2 linked regions of the Saccharomyces cerevisiae S288C genome follow. The protein of the gene in region 1 binds, or shares a complex with, the protein of each later gene. Each region holds a gene or a part of one and is shown on either strand. Other genes may lie near its edges. The genes, in order: VID28 and GID8. A codon is read from its position in the direction of its gene.

Region 1 (5,502 bases):
TAAAATCTGAGGAAAATTAGGATAATATTCATTAGGAGCACCTTCATAGCCCTTAACGGACTCTCTTCTAGGAAACCCAATTCCAAGAACACCACTAACGGGTGTCGTAGCATACTTGGCAACTCCGAACTGGATATTGGGGATGTCAATTCCATTAATTGATACAGTTTCCGTCCCCCAACTACCGTCAGCAAATGTTCCGTCAGCATATGTGATGTAAAACCTACCATTTTCCAGATATTGGTAGGTGGAAGATCTATGCTCATTATAAGTACTCATAGACCTGCAATCAATTGAAGGCTTAACTTCTTCGCCATTATAAGTTGCGTTTGAATAGGATGACGTATTTGAATTTGGTAAGCAGAAGGGATTGCTAGAATCCATAACCCAAAAATCGGCAGATCCGGTATCAAACAACACTGTCAGACTTTGGGACGGTGTACCTATATCTAAGGTTGTTGCGTAATACATCTCCTCTTCGTGTTGTAAAAGGAATTCTAAGTGACCAGTGCCATCGTTTGTTAAAGCAGTAATGGTGTTAATAATCGCGAAACTCGCCAAAATAAGTTTCAAACAAAGATGATTAATTGCAGACATTATATGACCCTTCTAGACACTCTTTTTATTTTGGTATGATTTTAGGCGATACGAACCACTAGAATTAAATCACGCGAAGATCATTAAAGAATTCATCATGACAAGGCTCGACGTGCTTTCTCTTCACTTTTATACTGTTATCAAAAAACACACACATTCAATAACTATAATGTGGTGTGTTTCAGAATAGCTGGCTGTGTATACATGTTATTGTCGCTATTATGTGACACTCGCCATGTAATTTCCTTTTACGGTAATTACATGCCATGTTTCAGCATGATGTCGGAGGTAGAAAAACAGGGACAACGCATCTCTAATATAATAAATGCAACAAATGTGTACCGTACCGGAATGAGTGCAGCCTATGAATTCGGCAAGAGCCGTTATCTATAAACTAAAAATACAAACTTATTTAAGAGAGTCCAAACTTTTTAACATAGCCTGAATTTCCTTTATGACGCCTTTCCTTTTTTCCTTCAACGGCCTTCTTAAGGACTCATCCACGTTAATCAAATCGATACTGTCTAACTCAATCAGCAACTTCAAAAGCATTTCGTTGCAATAGTTACGCTCGTAGATGTCCTTTTCATCTTCCACATCAAATCTGTTTATTAGATCCTTGCTACGACCTTCCAACTCGTTGCCGTATCTCAACGACACATTGTCAATTTGTTCTTCTAGAGTCAGAGGAACCGGCGCTTTTTCAAACTGATTCTTACCTTTCTTGTTCTTTTTAGAAGCCCTCTTTTTACTGCTTTTTCCCTTGCTGCCATTGGGTCTTCTGATTGTAACCAAAAATACAACAGCAATCACGGCCAAGAGGACGTACGTCGAGGTACTTGTTTTGCTCAGCTTGCTCTTCCAATGTTCCATTGCGTTGTGCGACATTACGGAAACGTACAATTGCCCTTCTGGTGCTATTTTTTCACCAACAAACAGGATTGAAACCAGCACTACAGAGCTGATTCCATCTTTTTTTCTACTGGTTATGTCAGTTCGCGATATTTTTTTTCAATATCGACCAAATGATAGTAAAGGCAAATTGAATTAGATGAGCACAAGTCTTCCATTTAAAAACCCCTCTAGCTATGGCTCTCCTTCAAGTCCATATGCGCTCTTGAAAAAGCATGCTTGCCGATTGAATTGCAGGTAGCATAAATGGTTTTGCTTGTGTATGAAGCTTTTGACCTTATATTCGTCATCCGTTATAAGTGATTAGACTGAAGGGGCGCGAACTAAACTAATTAGATTATAATACGTTTTATAGGGATATCACTACAAACTGCGGCCTAAGAGGATGATCTTCATGGCGGAAACTTGCAGTTTTCCTGTATCATTGCCCTCGTGTTAGATTGGTGATATATTACAGTTACACTATGACGGTGGCTTATTCCCTAGAGAATCTCAAAAAGATTAGTAATTCCCTGGTGGGAGACCAGTTGGCTAAGGTAGATTACTTTTTGGCTCCAAAGTGCCAGATTTTTCAATGTTTGTTGTCCATTGAGCAAAGTGACGGTGTAGAGTTAAAAAATGCGAAATTAGATCTGCTATATACCCTTTTACATCTAGAACCGCAACAAAGGGATATAGTAGGCACATATTACTTTGATATTGTGTCCGCAATCTATAAGTCCATGAGTTTGGCAAGCAGTTTTACTAAAAATAATTCTTCGACAAACTATAAGTACATAAAGCTTCTAAATTTGTGTGCAGGAGTTTATCCAAATTGCGGATTCCCAGACTTGCAATACCTCCAGAACGGGTTCATCCAGTTAGTCAACCATAAATTTTTGAGGAGCAAATGTAAAATTGATGAGGTGGTCACGATTATTGAATTATTGAAGTTGTTTTTACTTGTGGACGAGAAAAATTGCAGCGACTTCAACAAGAGCAAGTTTATGGAGGAAGAGAGAGAAGTGACAGAAACTTCACACTACCAAGATTTTAAAATGGCAGAATCCCTTGAACACATAATAGTTAAAATATCATCGAAGTACTTGGACCAAATAAGCCTCAAGTATATAGTGAGGCTAAAAGTATCCAGGCCAGCGTCACCATCCAGCGTCAAGAACGATCCGTTTGACAATAAAGGGGTCGACTGCACCCGTGCCATACCTAAAAAAATCAATATCTCAAACATGTATGATTCTAGTTTACTCTCATTGGCACTCCTTCTATATCTAAGATATCATTATATGATACCGGGTGATAGGAAACTGCGGAATGATGCGACGTTCAAGATGTTCGTTCTGGGTCTTTTGAAGAGTAATGACGTTAACATTAGGTGCGTGGCCCTGAAGTTTTTGTTACAACCGTACTTTACAGAGGATAAGAAATGGGAAGATACGCGTACACTCGAGAAAATACTACCCTATTTAGTTAAGTCATTTAATTATGACCCGTTGCCTTGGTGGTTTGATCCATTCGATATGCTGGATTCATTGATTGTGTTGTATAATGAAATTACTCCAATGAATAATCCTGTGCTCACCACGCTAGCTCATACAAACGTTATATTTTGCATTCTATCCCGTTTTGCGCAGTGTCTTTCTCTACCACAACACAATGAAGCTACTTTGAAAACAACTACAAAATTCATTAAAATATGTGCGTCATTTGCAGCATCGGACGAAAAATACCGTCTTTTACTGTTGAATGACACATTGTTGTTGAATCATTTAGAATACGGGTTGGAATCCCACATTACTTTGATACAGGATTTTATATCTTTGAAAGATGAGATAAAGGAAACAACTACGGAAAGTCATTCTATGTGTTTACCCCCAATATATGATCACGATTTCGTGGCAGCTTGGTTACTATTGTTGAAATCATTCTCGAGAAGTGTTTCAGCGCTTAGGACGACGTTGAAGAGAAATAAAATTGCACAGCTGCTTTTACAGATACTAAGTAAAACATATACGTTGACCAAGGAATGCTATTTTGCTGGACAAGATTTTATGAAACCGGAAATTATGATTATGGGCATTACTCTGGGTAGTATTTGTAACTTCGTGGTGGAGTTCTCTAATTTACAGTCATTTATGCTGAGAAACGGTATAATCGATATAATTGAAAAGATGTTAACAGATCCATTGTTTAACTCAAAAAAAGCCTGGGACGATAATGAAGATGAAAGAAGGATTGCATTGCAAGGCATACCTGTGCATGAAGTGAAGGCAAACTCTTTATGGGTACTAAGGCATCTAATGTACAATTGCCAGAATGAAGAGAAGTTTCAGCTTTTGGCCAAAATCCCGATGAATTTAATTTTGGATTTTATTAATGATCCATGTTGGGCAGTACAAGCCCAATGTTTTCAGTTGCTCAGAAATTTGACTTGTAATTCAAGGAAAATTGTAAATATTCTTTTGGAAAAATTTAAAGATGTAGAATACAAGATCGATCCTCAAACAGGTAATAAAATTAGCATCGGCTCAACGTATCTTTTCGAATTTCTTGCAAAGAAGATGAGGCTTTTAAATCCATTAGACACTCAACAAAAGAAAGCAATGGAAGGCATCCTATATATTATCGTGAATCTAGCGGCAGTCAATGAGAATAAAAAGCAGCTAGTCATCGAACAAGACGAAATATTGAACATTATGAGTGAAATATTGGTAGAAACAACGACTGATAGTTCAAGTAATGGTAATGACAGCAATCTGAAATTGGCATGCCTCTGGGTACTCAATAACTTACTTTGGAATTCATCAGTTTCACATTATACCCAATATGCAATTGAAAATGGTCTGGAACCAGGGCATTCACCAAGTGATTCAGAAAACCCTCAATCTACGGTGACAATCGGGTATAATGAATCAGTGGCTGGTGGATATTCTAGGGGGAAATACTACGATGAGCCAGATGGCGATGATAGCAGTAGCAATGCGAATGATGATGAAGATGACGATAATGATGAGGGTGATGATGAAGGCGATGAGTTCGTTCGCACCCCGGCTGCAAAAGGTAGTACATCAAATGTACAAGTAACACGTGCCACGGTGGAAAGATGTAGAAAACTCGTGGAGGTAGGATTATACGATCTGGTTAGAAAAAATATTACAGACGAATCATTATCTGTCAGGGAAAAGGCCAGAACGTTACTATATCACATGGACCTGCTTTTGAAAGTTAAATGAATGCACAGAACTCGTAGTATTTCCTACAATTAATTTATGCTATAGTTTTTTAAATAGTATTTTCGCAGAAGAATCCATAACTGCAAGCTTACGTTTAACTAAAATTTCTGTGATAGGAAGTAGCTGGCTGAATTTATTCTCATGTCAAAGAAAAAAAAGTATGCATAGAAATATCACTTTATAAGGAACGTTTCGGATTAAATTATATAATATTTAAGAAAATTGATAAAATAATATGACAGAAGGAAGAAACCAAAATTAAAAAGATTAATCTTGGGTCTTTTGAGAACCACGTAGTAAACCGGTTCTTCTGGCAGCAATCAAACCAGCCTTTTGACCAGAAACGGCACCTCTAGAGATAGTAGAAGCCTTACCAATATGTTGATGGTTACCACCACCGTGAGGGTGATCAACTGGATTCATGGCAACACCACGGGTCTTTGGCCAAGAGTTTCTCTTCAATCTGTACTTGTGGAAAGCACGACCAGCCTTCAACAATGGTTTGTCAACTCTACCACCACCGGCAATGACACCGATGACACCTCTGGCGTCAGAAGAGATAACCTTCTTGGCACCGGATGGTAATCTGACTCTGGTTTTGTTTTCATCTGGGTTGTGACCAATGATGATAACGTAGTTACCAGAAGCTCTGGCTAGGGCACCTCTGTCACCTGGCTTTTCTTCAACGTTGGAGACAATGGTACCTTCTGGGACAGAACCCAATGGCAAGACGTTACCGACGTTCAAAGAAGCCTTTTTACCA
Region 2 (3,724 bases), on another chromosome or scaffold:
AAAAGCGGTATTGTTATTGAAGAGTTCGAAGATCGCGATAAGTTTTTTGCAAAACCTGTGTTTGTATCAGAATTGGATGTCGAATGTAATGTTATTGTAGATGGGAAAGAACTTCTGTCCACCCCATTAAAATTTCATGTTGAATTTTCTCCAGAGGATTATGAAAATGAAAAAAGACCTGAGTTTGGTACTACCTTGCGTGTATTGAGGCTGAGACTTTACCACTACTTTAAAGATTGCGAAATATATCGCGATATAATTAAGAATGAGGGCGGTGAAGGGGCAAGAAAGTTTACGATTTCCAACGGTGTCAAAATTTACAATCATAAAGATGAACTACTGCCATTGAATATCGATGATGTTCAATTATGTTTCCTGAAGATTGATACGGGAAACACGATAAAATGCGAATTCATACTATGAAAGCTTCCAAAAAAAAAAAAGAAAAATCAATTGCTAAATGCATACATGCAGGTAGGCACACACACACACACACACACACACTCACTCACACATGCACACGCACACACACATATATAAATATATACGTACTATGTATGTCAGTTTTCGACCCTAGGAACCCCTATTTGGTTGTGATGAAGCTGATTTTCGCACCAACACCACAGTTTCATTATCTGCGTCAATCTTGGTTCATAGGGAAATTCGGAAGAGTAGTAATTATTGAATTCTAAACCTTTTTCCTTTCCATTTGAAGAGGAAAGCAATTCAGAAGTTTGATTCCAGTAATTTTTATTTTCTAAGTTATGAAAAGTTGTCGCCGCTGAACCTGTGCCAACATTTCCATCCCTTTGATTTAGCCAAACTGAATTAGCAGCAGCCGTGACCTCGTTGCTTGACATCTTTTCGTTGATAGGTTGGTCAGACGAAATGTGAGTTATTTTTGTACCATTTGAACCATTGACGAGATTGTTGTTATACACCGTGAAGTTCTGCGTAATTATTTTCTTGTCGGAATTTAACAAATCTGGAAATTTGGAATTATTATTGCTGATCTCAAATTGAATCCTTGGATGAATAAACTTCAGCAGCTTCTCATTAACCAGATCTGCTATCTTAGATCTTAGAGATATCGAGTACAGATTTTGTAACGATTTGGGCAGCTTAATGCTGCCGCTGTCCGCCGAATCTGACAAGGGGAAAAGCAGCAGAGTCATTGCTAATTCTAACTCTTGCATCTTTTTGACACTTGACGAAGCCTTTATTGCAAGTTTATTTTGAGAATACTGAATTAGATTGAGTATAAAGTCGTTGGAATCCTTGGTGATGTTCTCCTGTTGATGGTGACTTCTTATCATCTCGATCAAATTCAGTAACAGCAGTTTGAAGTGTAAATCTCCATCTATGTCAAACTGCTGCTGCTGCTGCTGCTGCTGCCTGTCAGTTCTACCCGTATAACTTCCCGTAGCATTGAAAGTCTCTTCCAGCACCTCCAGCCCGAAGATAGAGTTTATCTCCTCCATCGCCTCATTGATACGCCCCAGCTTAATAAGATGTTTGATATGGAAACGCTCCTTGATCTTGTACAAATCATTGAAAACCGCAATGTCTTTGTTGTTCCGTATAAATCCCAGCTCCTTGGCCATCCTAATGCTCGAGTCTTCATATGCCATAGAAACAAAGTAGTTCAACAGAAGCCGTGGCAGTGTGGGCTCTATGGGTGTGGTCTGTATGGTAGCAAATCCCTCGTCCTGCGAGCCGCCACTGCTGTTGGGCTGAATTTTCAGCGGATAATGTATTGTCTTATTTGCATATAGCTCGCCCATGGCAGAATACTTGGCCACCTGCTCCTTCCATTCTTCCTTCGTGAAGCACTTCTTTCCATACGTAAAGTCTTTCCCACCATTCTTGCCTTGGCCGCTGCAAGATCCGCTCTTCGTGGTCTCGTTACTAAGAGTAGATATAGTCATTTCTATTTGTTACCACACACAAATATATCTTCATCCGGCTGATATTTGTCTCTACTGCCCCTTTGCTTGCAATTTAATGACCAAATTACACATGTTAGCTTCAAGAAAAATGATGTACCATCAAAATGTCTCCTGCAACGAACCGGGGCACCGCGCCGGCAGAGTCAGGAAAGCGAGATCGACACTGATAGTGATAAACAGCAACACAATGGAGCGATTACCATTCACTCGGAACGGATCCGGACAACAGTCAAATAAACTCCGGGATCCCAAAAAGGGCCGTACACACAAACCCAAGCCGAGCGAAAAACACAAAAAAAATAAAACAGGGAAAAAAGGAGCGCAAGAGAAAACGCACAGGAGTAGGAGCAGCAGAAAGGGGAACTAATATGGTTTTTCCGTTTGCTTATTTTTATTTTTTTGTTGAGTCATGGGCACGTCACCGCACAACAGCCGCCGCAGGCCTGTACCGCTACGCGTCTATCACTGCGAAACATCGCTACTTCTGTCGCCGCGTCGACGCTGGTCCAGACCACAAAAGGATGCACGATCAGAAGCACTGTACCCTGCAGAGTTGGAGATAGTGTAACCGTGACTTCATTTTTCAAGCGTGGTTTCACATTCTTTTTGCACCGCCCTTATCTCAGATATAGTTTCGTTCGGTTGCTTTGCTTTCCCCAACTGAAGGTGCTGGATGGCGGTTTTTCCGGCTGCTGCGATTTTCCCTGCGCGGGGCCCGGCGCGGAATTGTGCAAAAGCTAAAACTCAACGGTTATTTTGAAATATAAGGTTATAAGCAAATTTCCTAAATTTGCTTAATTGTTAATGCAGTTGTTATTGCATTAAGACATTCGGCTATCGTTTCCTTTCTTCGTGTCGGCAATCTTGTATAAAAGTTATTTTTTGAGTTTCAGTTTCTTGTATATCTTGGTATATATTGAAGGAGGATTTTTTCTTTCCTGGTCCTTTTACTTCCTTGCGTCCCCTCATATTTCTTCTATTTCCGTTCACGGCGTTTTTTTATTTTCTCCATCTACTTTTAGTGATTTCCTTTGCTCTAATATTGTTTTCGTTCATAGTGAATTGTTTGTTTTCACTTTAATAAAGGGCTTTTACGACTTGTCTCAAAAAATTTCATCGAGATGCAAGCCCCCAATATCTACCCCTTCTCTCAAACACAGCCACAAGCACTGCCCGGGTTCACATACGGTCCTCCACAACTTGTTTTTGACCATTCTGCTCCGAGAGTAGATCCTTTGCATTCTACTGTAACTATAAATTCTCCATTACCCTTGCAGCATTATAATGGACCGAATGCCCATATAAACAGCGCAAACAACAACTACGCATACTACTATCATCATCCCAACAATAATGATAACAACAACCATAGTAACAACACTATAAAAAATAACAACATTAATTCTGTTCTTCCCGCCGTTAATATTCAAATATCCAACAACTCACATTATAGAAATACACACCAAATTCCTTCTGCTCCTCAGCGGCTGGTCAGCATCATACCGGATCCCCACATGCCGCCCAATATTTCTCACTTTCAGCTAAATAATATTCACCCTCAAATGCATGCTCCTGTTGCTACTGATATTCATTTCCAACAAGTACCAGTTTACAATAAAACCAATAATGGCATTGGTACTGATAACATTAATAACGATAAACCCGTAAACTCGAATCAGAATGAAGTGCTGGACAATATTGATGAACGTTCCTGTCATGAAATTAACAGGGTAGTTTCATTTTCTAAACATTTTGAAAACAACGAACTTACCACT

The links.
Region 2: the proteins of VID28 (region 1) and GID8 are in contact, whole or in part, in a cryo-EM structure (PDB 7NS3), measured with the Saccharomyces cerevisiae proteins. Residues at the interface, in NP_012247.3 of Saccharomyces cerevisiae: Asn15 (codon at 2,016), Leu17 (codon at 2,022), Val18 (codon at 2,025), Gly19 (codon at 2,028), Asp20 (codon at 2,031), Gln21 (codon at 2,034), Leu22 (codon at 2,037), Lys24 (codon at 2,043), Asp56 (codon at 2,139), Tyr59 (codon at 2,148), Thr60 (codon at 2,151), His63 (codon at 2,160), Gln68 (codon at 2,175), Phe77 (codon at 2,202), Asp78 (codon at 2,205), Ser81 (codon at 2,214), Lys106 (codon at 2,289), Ala112 (codon at 2,307), Tyr115 (codon at 2,316), Pro116 (codon at 2,319), Asn117 (codon at 2,322), Cys118 (codon at 2,325), Gly119 (codon at 2,328), Phe120 (codon at 2,331), Leu123 (codon at 2,340), Ser141 (codon at 2,394), Cys143 (codon at 2,400), Lys144 (codon at 2,403), Ile145 (codon at 2,406), Val148 (codon at 2,415); in NP_013854.1 of Saccharomyces cerevisiae: Glu151 (codon at 1,478), Asn154 (codon at 1,469), Leu159 (codon at 1,454), Glu160 (codon at 1,451), Leu162 (codon at 1,445), Glu163 (codon at 1,442), His194 (codon at 1,349), Asn232 (codon at 1,235), Ile236 (codon at 1,223), Lys237 (codon at 1,220), His299 (codon at 1,034), Pro300 (codon at 1,031), Arg301 (codon at 1,028), Gln303 (codon at 1,022), Phe304 (codon at 1,019), Ser307 (codon at 1,010), Asn308 (codon at 1,007), Lys322 (codon at 965), Ile323 (codon at 962), Ile324 (codon at 959), Phe328 (codon at 947), Thr329 (codon at 944), Val330 (codon at 941), Tyr331 (codon at 938), Asn332 (codon at 935), Asn334 (codon at 929), Leu335 (codon at 926), Val336 (codon at 923), Asn337 (codon at 920), Gly338 (codon at 917).

The regions. Positions count from the first base shown.
Region 1 is NC_001141.2:317,437-322,938, reverse strand, and holds VID28 (glucose-induced degradation complex subunit VID28), read left to right. Parts: upstream 1-1,973; coding exon 1,974-4,739; downstream 4,740-5,502. Other genes in the region: aspartyl protease BAR1, read right to left, coding at 1-597; SNL1 (Snl1p), read right to left, coding at 1,006-1,485; 60S ribosomal protein uL2 RPL2B, read right to left, coding at 5,007-5,502. UniProt on the Saccharomyces cerevisiae protein: Component of the GID E3 ligase complex recruiting N termini and catalyzing ubiquitination of proteins targeted for degradation.
Region 2 is NC_001145.3:538,129-541,852, forward strand, and holds GID8 (glucose-induced degradation complex subunit GID8), read right to left. Parts: upstream 1,929-3,724; coding exon 561-1,928; downstream 1-560. Other genes in the region: ERG29 (Erg29p), read left to right, coding at 1-423; GAT2 (Gat2p), read left to right, coding at 3,071-3,724. UniProt on the Saccharomyces cerevisiae protein: Component of the GID E3 ligase complex recruiting N termini and catalyzing ubiquitination of proteins targeted for degradation.